2 linked regions of the Xenopus tropicalis genome follow. The protein of the gene in region 1 binds, or shares a complex with, the protein of each later gene. Links are inferred from orthologs where the notes say so. Each region holds a gene or a part of one and is shown on either strand. Other genes may lie near its edges. The genes, in order: nhp2 and nop10.

The links.
Region 2: nhp2 (region 1) and nop10 share a complex: the UniProt entries of both Homo sapiens proteins name them as parts of the H/ACA small nucleolar ribonucleoprotein (H/ACA snoRNP) complex. The link is inferred for Xenopus tropicalis from reciprocal best matches to the Homo sapiens genes NHP2 and NOP10.

What each region holds. Positions count from the first base shown.
Region 1 is NC_030679.2:47,806,896-47,811,474, forward strand, and holds the start of nhp2 (H/ACA ribonucleoprotein complex subunit 2-like protein), read right to left. Parts: upstream 3,036-4,579; 5' UTR 2,977-3,035; coding exon 2,829-2,976; intron 1,643-2,828; coding exon 1,573-1,642; intron 1,484-1,572; coding exon 1,378-1,483; intron 1-1,377. UniProt on the Homo sapiens protein: Required for ribosome biogenesis and telomere maintenance. Part of the H/ACA small nucleolar ribonucleoprotein (H/ACA snoRNP) complex, which catalyzes pseudouridylation of rRNA.
Region 2 is NC_030677.2:142,941,946-142,946,560, forward strand, and holds the start of nop10 (H/ACA ribonucleoprotein complex subunit 3), read left to right. Parts: upstream 1-1,515; 5' UTR 1,516-1,557; coding exon 1,558-1,611; intron 1,612-4,615. UniProt on the Homo sapiens protein: Required for ribosome biogenesis and telomere maintenance. Part of the H/ACA small nucleolar ribonucleoprotein (H/ACA snoRNP) complex, which catalyzes pseudouridylation of rRNA.

The sequences.
Region 1 (4,579 bases):
AGGACTTTGTATAGGAGAATTTGTTTTTGCAATTTTGTTTTTAGAAGATCTGTCTATAAGTATTAGTTGTATGACAAAGGACTAAAGTAAAGAAATCACACTCATTTTGCAGTGACTAGATCTGGTAAATATAAGATGTTAGAAGACACCAGTAGTTTAAAGGCCCATTAGGATAGATTTGTGAAGAATCCCTATTTTTCTCCAATAGTACAGGTATGGGACCCATTATACAGAATGCTCAGGACCTGGGGGTTCTTGGATAAGGGATCTTTCCGTAATTTGGATCTCCATACCTTAAGTGTACTAAAAGATTATTTACTGTATATACTCGAGTATAAGCCAATCCGAATATAAGCCGAGGTACCTAATTTTACCTAAGAAACCTGGAAAAACTTATTGACTCGAGTATAAGCCTAGGGTGGGAAATGCAGCAGCTACTGCTAAGTTTTTTTTTTTTTTTTTTTTTTAACAGTCAGGCAAGTTTGGGAAGGCTAAGGAAGCTGCCATACTAAGTATCAAGTACTTGCCATCCTGCTGTGTGTGCTCCCATCGCAATGCAGCATGTCTCCCAGCACAACTGACAGCAAAGCTTCTATTTGTGAGAGTGCTCAGCCAGAATGGCAGTAGCTTCTGTGGAACTACACATCCCAGGAGGCCATTAATATGTAGGCAGGAGGGGAACATGAGCCGAGCCAGGAGCAAGATAACACTTCCCAAGGGCAGTTATACCCTCACTGTAGCCACATAGTCAGGTGTGTCCCCGATATATATATATAATTTGATATGACAAATCTATCATATCAAATTATATATGAATTATTGGCATGTCTGCTCCCAGGACTCTCCCTCTACCCTGCCATGGTTATGCTTCTGTATATGATTTTTTATCTGGAAACCTGGTATCCCCCATTTTTTTTTTTTTTTTTGAAACAGCTATAAGACCCCTTAGTGCTTTCTAAAAATTCGTTTTTTTAATTAAAATAATAACACCATGTTCTAGCAACTTGTAGGGGGTCTCCTGTACTTCATATCTTCACAAGCAAATCCTTATTACATGTGGAGTGGGCGGAGCTAGAAGTGATCAAGTTACACAGGGCGACCCGCACAGCGCCGCAGTCTCTTCCGGGGCACTGAGTGAGCTAGCCGGTTGCTGGAGCTCACAGCCCCCTCTGCCTGCAGCGGCCGGAGAGGGAGGTACGGGGGGGGGGCGGGATTTGCGAGCGTACGCACAGTGGGCGTGCGTGCACAACGAATTACAAAACCATATACTCGAGTATAAGCCGAGGATGACTTTTTCAGCACATTTTTGGCAACCACTGGTACACACTGAAATGAACTGTCAGTTTAGAAGAAAAGTGAAGGAAAAAGAATACTCACTGATTTGGATGGAACGTATGAATAAGGAATGCCGCGATCCTCACACATTACAGGGATGTGACAATACACCTCAATGGGAAGGGTGTCACCAGCCATTACTACAATCCTAAAAATATTCAGAAGTCAGAACTGTACAGTAAGCTACTATTACCGTGGAGGTTAATTGATGTTTCAGAAAAGGATAAGTGTTCTTACCCTTTCTCTCCTTTGTTGATGAACTTTTGTACTTCCTTCACTCCTCTGCGGATATTCTTTTGTTTTATGGCTGAAAGGGAAAATAGAGGGATCTTTAGGATACATCCATATTGTAGTAATTCTTCCAAAAACCTCTTGAACGGAATGGCATTGTTTATGCTTCTGATTATTACAGTGTGTACATATTTCAGAAAGCGGTGAATTCAAAAACCTCTATTACTGGCAGATTAAGTAAAAGGCATATCTATCATTTAATGGACAAGTATTTATGGTCTTATTGATGAAATGTTTAAGAAAGCAAGTCCTGCATTTTTTGCAGTTGTCCCTTGCAGGCAACCAGAGAGCCCTGCTGTGAGCTCTCTAAATGCTCTAGGCCAGAGATCCCCAACCTTTAATACTCGTGAGCCACATTCAAATGGAAAAAGTGTTGGGGAGCAACACAAGCATGGAAAATGGGGGTGCAAATAAGAGCTATAATTGGCTATTTGGTAGCCCCTATGTGGACTGGTAGCCTATAGAAGGCCCTGTTTGGCTTTACACTGGGTTTTATGCAACCAAAACTTGCCCCCACGCCAGAAATTAAAAAATAAGCACCTGCTTTGAGGCCACTGGGAGCAACATCTAAGGGGTTGGAGAGCAACATATTGCTCATGAACCACTGGTTGGGGATCACTGCTCTAGGCCCTCAGATGGCAGACCTGTGGTGAATCTTAGTGACACTGGTTCACAATAAAATGGAGGGGGGGGTCAAGTGTTCACAAGGGCTCCATAACAGTGCAGGCAGTGCTTTATATGAAGCCACAGTTGGTGGCAGGGTTTATGAATGGGGAAACCTCTCAAACATCCCTTTACAGTGACAGGAAGCAATTAAGCTTTGGCTGACTTTCAGCCGTTATAGTTCTGCTTATTAGGAATTATTGCATATTTTTCATTCATGTTAGCACTAGATTTTAGAAATTATGCCTAAAGCTCACTTTTAAAAGAACTGAACATATTCCTGTGAATTGAGTGTCACTAGCTAAAAGCCTCTACTGAATCCCTGCACAGGATTTCAGCGGAAGTCGAAGTTTATAATCGCTGTACATCGCAGTGACTGTATCCACATTTGTGCGCAAGAAGCCGGACTGACTGCTATCGCTTTTAAAACACATTTCAGACAAGATGCTCCAACAACAATTCACGGGATGTGTTAAACTCTAATTACAGCCCCACCATTCGCCTGAAAGAGCCAGCGGCCATTGAAGTAAGCATGGTACCTTTCTTTACACATTTGTATAGTTTCTTGGTGAGTTTGCGGCCCGCCAGCGGCTTAGCGATGGGGTTTAGATACGCCAACAGCTCATCGTAAGACTTGCTCGGCGTTTCGGGCACTTCCTCCGATTCCTCCTTCTTTGCTTTAGTCATTTCGCTAGATCACAGACGAGCAGGCTCAACGCACAACCACGTGTAACCGCGCACACTCGCACAACTGAGCACTTCCGTGTCCGGTGGGAGGGGCATATGCAAAGCAATCTGTGACTTGCGCTCTAGTCTCTGCGTAAGGAAAACTTCCGGCCATGAATATGCGGTATTGCAGAGAATATTGACTTTACTGTGGTGTATAGTTTGTATGTATGGTTAATATCTATAGTAGAAAGGAAATAAATTAATCATTGGTTAGAGAGATAGTTTCTTTCCAAGGGAAGGACCTAAAGCCCTCTAGTGGTGAGGTAGATACAAGTACAGGAAAGAGTCCAATCTGCAATGATAACGATAAATAATACCCATAATACCGGGACCCTCGTTGCGCTTTAGGAGTAAGGTCCTAAATAACGATAAACTCCAGTCTCTTTTGATATATCCAGCTAATTCTCATCCTGAGAAACACCATAACGTTTTTGTCTGGTAAACAAAATTGCCATTAAAGGGGGTTGTTCACCTTTCTGTTAACTCTTAGTATAATGTAGAGCAGTGATCCCCAACCAGTGGTTCATGAGCAACATGTTGCTCCCTAACCCCTTGGATGTTGCTCCCAGTGGCCTCAAAGCAGGTGCTTATTTATGAGTTTATGGTTAGGAGCCAAGGTTTTGTTGCATAAAACCCAGTGTAATTGGCAAACAGAGCCTTCTGTAGGCTTCCAGTCAACATAGGGGCTATCAAATAGCCAATTATAGCTCTCATTGGCACCTCCGGGAACTTTTTTCATGCTTGTGTTGCTCTCCAAAATTTTTTCCATTTGAATGTGGCTCACGGGTATAAAAGGTTGGGGAACCCTGATGTAGAGTGTAATATTCTCAGACAATTTGCAACTAGTCTTCATTTTTATTCTTTCTAGTTTTTTAGTTTCACTTTTTGTTCAGCAGCAATTTGGTTGCTAGGGTCCAAATTATCTTAGCAACCAGGGAGCTGTTTGAATGACAAATGATAAATGAACAGGAGAGGGCCTGAATAGAAAAATGAGGAATAAAAAGTAACAATAAAAATAAAACTGGAGCCTCACAGAGCAATAGTCTTTTGGCTGCCGGGGTCAGTGACCCCAATTTGAAAGCTGCAAAGAATAAAGGCCCCCATACACGGGCCGGTCCCTTGGACCGATTCGGCAGCTAATCGGCCTGTGTGTGGGCAGAAACGAGCAGCCTGGCCAACCGATATCTGGCCTGAAATTGGCCAGATATCGATCGGCCAGGTTAGAAAATCCAGTCGGCTCGGGGACCGCATGGGCTCGTTGATGCGGTCCCCGAACCGACTGCCCCATGGCCACAAATGTAATCCGATCGTTTGTAGCCACTGTACCCTATAAACATATAAATGGGCAGGGGCAGTTTTAAAGATAATATTCATTCATAAGATTTTGTGAAATCAAACATCCCCTGCTTAGCTCTTTTACTGCTACTACCTGTCAGGCCCAATACCGGGATAAAAACTAGTCAGTTTATGCAAGAGTAATTCTCATCAAGTCTAAGGACTTTCTTACCTGTAATTGCCAGTACATGGATAGAAACTAGTCAGTTTATTAAGGACATTTTCT
Region 2 (4,615 bases), on another chromosome or scaffold:
TTAATGTGACCTATAAACTGTACCACTCAATTGAAAAACAAACTGTAATCTTTTAGGTGAAGGGAAGAAAACCAAAAAAACTAAAATAATGTGGTTGCATAAGTGTGCACACCCTCTTCTAACTGGGGATGTAGCTGTGTTCAGAATTAAGCAATCACATTCAAAATCATGTTAAATAGTCAGCATACACCTGCCATCATTTAAAGTGCCTCCGATTAACCCCAAATAAAGTTCAGCTGCTCTACTTGGTCTTTCCTGACATTTTTTTAGTCGCATCCCACAGCAAAAGCCATGGTCCCCAGAGAGCTTCCAAAGCATCAGAGGGATCTCATTGTTAAAAGATATCAGTAAAGACAGTCATCATCAAGTGGAGAAAATTTGGCACAGCAGTGACATTACCAAGAACTGGACGTCCCTCCAAAATTGATGAAAAGACGAGAAGAAAACTGGTCAGGGAGGCTACCAAGAGGCACTTACTGGCACCCCAGAAACTTTTTTCATGCTTGTGTTGCTCCCCAACACTTTTTCCATTTGAATGTGGCTCACGGGTATAAGAGGTTGGGTATTCCCTTTCCCCAACTATACTTTCTAACTCCAACCTCTTACTGGAGTGGCTCTTCTCCCGATATGCCCACCTACGGGTGGCCGATATTGGGCCAAACCAATTAAAATGGCGGGTATAGAAGCTGTCAGTTCGGGGGCCACATCAACCAGCCAATGTGGTCTCTGATCAATGGAAAACCCAAACCTGCCCAATCGAGATCAGAAGACGGTCGGGGAGGCCCGACATTCGTGCCCATACACAGGCAGATGAGCTGCCAAATCCTGATATCATGAGCTAAAATCAGCCCGTGCATGGCCACCTTTAGACTCTTTCTAAAAGATACACCATGTAACTACTACTCTTTTTAGACCATTTTAACTCCATCCCCACCAACCTACTAGTAAACACCACCTCAAACCTCCCCTGCCTGCATGTTCTAACACTGTCAGATCCCGTCTCTATGCTAACTCCTTCTAAGCATCCCCTCCTTCCTGCTGCAATCCCTTTACACCCATTCCAACACGCTGGTAGGTCATAATCTTTTTTGATATTTTTATTCTTTGCAGAAGTGTCTCGCATCATAGGTACGTGTTCTAACCGCTAAACTCACAAGTGAGCTGATTGGTCAGCGCCCTCAAGCTGCCTCAGGAACGACTGAGAATGATACCCAGATTTACTGACTAGTTAGAACAAAGGCCAGACAACACAAATAAGGATTTGGGGCGCATGAATAACAAAACAAAACAAAAACAAGTAGGCTGTTACTGCCCGTAGTTACATAACAAACGGAGAATTTCGCTCTCGAAAATAAGGCGAAATATCAACACGAGAGCGGGATAGGGGGTGTGGAGAAGGAACTACTGAAGTGACGAACTTTACCGGAACAGGAAGTAGTTGTGCGGAAGTAGTATCGTCACCCTGTTGAGAAAAACGTGGGGCGCTTGGTGAGTGTGGAACCTGCGTGTGTTTCTGTTCGCTGTAGATTTGCGCGTGTCGCTGCCTGACGCTAGAGGATGTTTCTGCAGTTTTATCTAAACGAGCAGGGGGAGCGTGTATACACAATGAAGGTGAGCAATGGAACTATAAACCAGCATGTGATGGGCTGATATTTTCCTTTGACCTATACTATTCCTTAGTACCTGGAGGGTCGCACAAATGGGCAGTGCAACATGTTTTAATGCCTATAGAGAAAGTTAAGCGTTTAGTTCCAATTAAATTGAAAGAAAATTGTTTGCTTAAGTCCATCTGGTGGCCACGATTAAAGCATTTTATATAGGGATTATAGGAAAAGTATAGTGTAAAAATAAAACTGGGTAAATAGGTAGGCTGTGCGAAATAAAAAATATTTCTAATATAGTAAGGCAAAAATCTAATATATAAAGGCTGGAGTGAGTGGATGTCTTAAGACATAAATGTCAAACCCAAGGCCCGGGGGCCAAATCCGGCCCACCTGGCTGTTTTATGTGGCCCTTGGTGAGGGTGTCTGACCATCCAGCCTGATCAATTTCCATTTTCCTCACATAGTAACTAAGACTAAGGGGTATATTTATCATGCTGTGTGGAGTGAAGTATTAGGGCTCTAGCACACGAGGAGATTTGTCGCCTGCGTTTTTTCCCCCCTGGCGCTTTGGCGACAAGTCGCCACGACAATACACAAAGAGATTTCATGAGAGTTGAGCTCCAGGCGATCTGCTACCCATGGTACACTCAACAGTTACCCCTCTCATGTTTACTCAAGTCGCTCAGAAAAGGGTCTGTACGATTTGAAACAGCAGGCGATTTGAAGTAGCCTCGTATGTTTTGACGCTGGCGATTTCCATTTGTTTAGCATTGGCGTCTTGTCTTTCATCTTGTCGCCAAATCGCTCTTTTAAAAATCGCCGGTGACAAATCTCCTCGTGTGCCAGAGCCCTTAACAGTAATGTTGCCCAAGGCATCCAATCAGTAATCAGATTTCAACAGTAGCAAAGCATCTATTGGCTGCTATGAGCAACATCACTGGTAATGTCTTACTCCACTTTTTACACATTGTGATAAATATTCCCCTTAGTATCTTACTAAGTATATTAATAAAAAATTTGGCATGCGACTTAACCTGTTTTTTAGATTTCGGCCCCCTTATGTGATTGAGTTTGACACCCCTGTCTTAAGATAATAGCCAGAACACTACTTTCTGCTCTCTAAGCTGTTAGCCATCAATAACCAATCAGTGACTTGAGGGGTGACTTGTCCGATATGGGACATAACTGTTCAGTTAGTTTGTGAGCATGCAGGTCAGATTCATAAGCAAACTAACTGAACAGTTATGTCCCAGATCCAACCCCCCTCAAGTCACTGACTGGTAACAGCTTAAGGTCCCCATACACTATAAGACATCGCCAAGCGAGCAGATTTTCACCTGATATCCCCACCTACGGGTGGGCGATATCGGGTAGCAAGTAGCTTTAAAGAAAAATAATCGATCGTTTGGCCCTGGGGCCAAATGATCGGATTACATTTGCAGCCATGGGGCAGTCGGTTTGGGGACTGCATCAACGAGCCGATGCGGTCCCCGATCCGACTGGATTTTATAACTTGGCCGATCGATATCTGGCCAATTTCAGGCCAGATATCGGTCGGGCAGGCCGCTCGTTTCTGCCCCTACACGGGCCGATTAGCTGCCGAATCGGTCCAAGGGACCCATATCGGCAGCTTCTATCGGCTCGTGTATGGGGGCCTTTAGAGAGCTGTAAAGGAGGAAGTTATGTTAAACATCTGTTTACTCCAGCCTTTATAGATTACATTTTTGGCTAACTAACCATATTGAAAATGTTTTATTTTGCACAGCCTGTCTATTTAACCACTTTTATTTTTACACTGAACTGTTCCTTTAAAGGCTATGTCCAACTTTGTGTTAACATTTATTTAAGCCCCTATTGCCAAAAAAATATTTTGCCAATAGGAATTTAACAAATTGTTTCCTTTAAAATTTTCAATGAAGTCAGGGCTTATGTGATGTTGAGTCCTGCACTGTCTCACTGGAGGAGGGTTTGCCGGCCCCTACGTCCACTACTTTTTACAGAGGTTGGCAGCGCATAACAGGAAGAAGCAGGAGCAGCTCCAGTACTGTGCATGCCTTGTTTCCTCCTTGTATTGCATAAATTGTATTGCCAGCCAGTCTGATTCATATAGGGCTAATGAGTGAAGATATGCGCTGCGTTAAACCTTCACAAGGGGAATCTGAAACCAACACAGAACCTGATTGCAAGTGGTAACTTTGTTAAAAAGTGTAGCGGAAATTTTTTTTATGAAGAAATATTTATTGTCAGAATATTTATTTTGGTAACGGGCTTGTGTGAATCCCCAGTTATGAAGTTATGTTCAGTCTGTTTTCACATTGCAGCTTAGAATCCTGCATATAAGGTTATTGCACATGTGCAATCACTCAGACCTCTTTCCAACAGCCTGCTTGTGTTGTGATCAATGGTCAAATAATCGAATCAGACCAATATCACCCACCTCAAGGTGGGATTCTTTACATGTATGGCCAGCTTAAGTGAAGAAATAGTCATAGTACACATCATGATCAAGATCGTTGACCACCTTATATGTACTATAAATCTGCCCTTAACTTAGTGTTCCATTGTTGTTCTTATCGTGCAAGTTGCAAGTAAACAAGCTATGCAACATAGAAGGAAAGGGACTTTTAAATGTGAATCTGATGGACTTAAAAACATTACGCAATAAGACTCCTGACTATGGAACCAAAGCTACAGCTTTGGTCCATCTTTCCCATCAGATTCATTGAATCACATTGATTGGATAATGAATGCTTATAGAGACCAGTGATTCATTTCCTTGCTCTTTTGGTCTGACTATCTGATGAATGTTTAGTGTGCTTGAAGTTCAAATCCTGCACATGTACATAGCAAACATAGCAATACGTTTCTGTATGCAGACTGAAAACTGTCATGGGACAAATGGGCGTTCATGTTTATCCAGATAACATACTTAGCCCACCTGTCAAAAAGTAGGGCCATTTTAATTATTAGAAGAAGTGATGGATCTAGTTTAGAATTTACTAAGAGGAGAA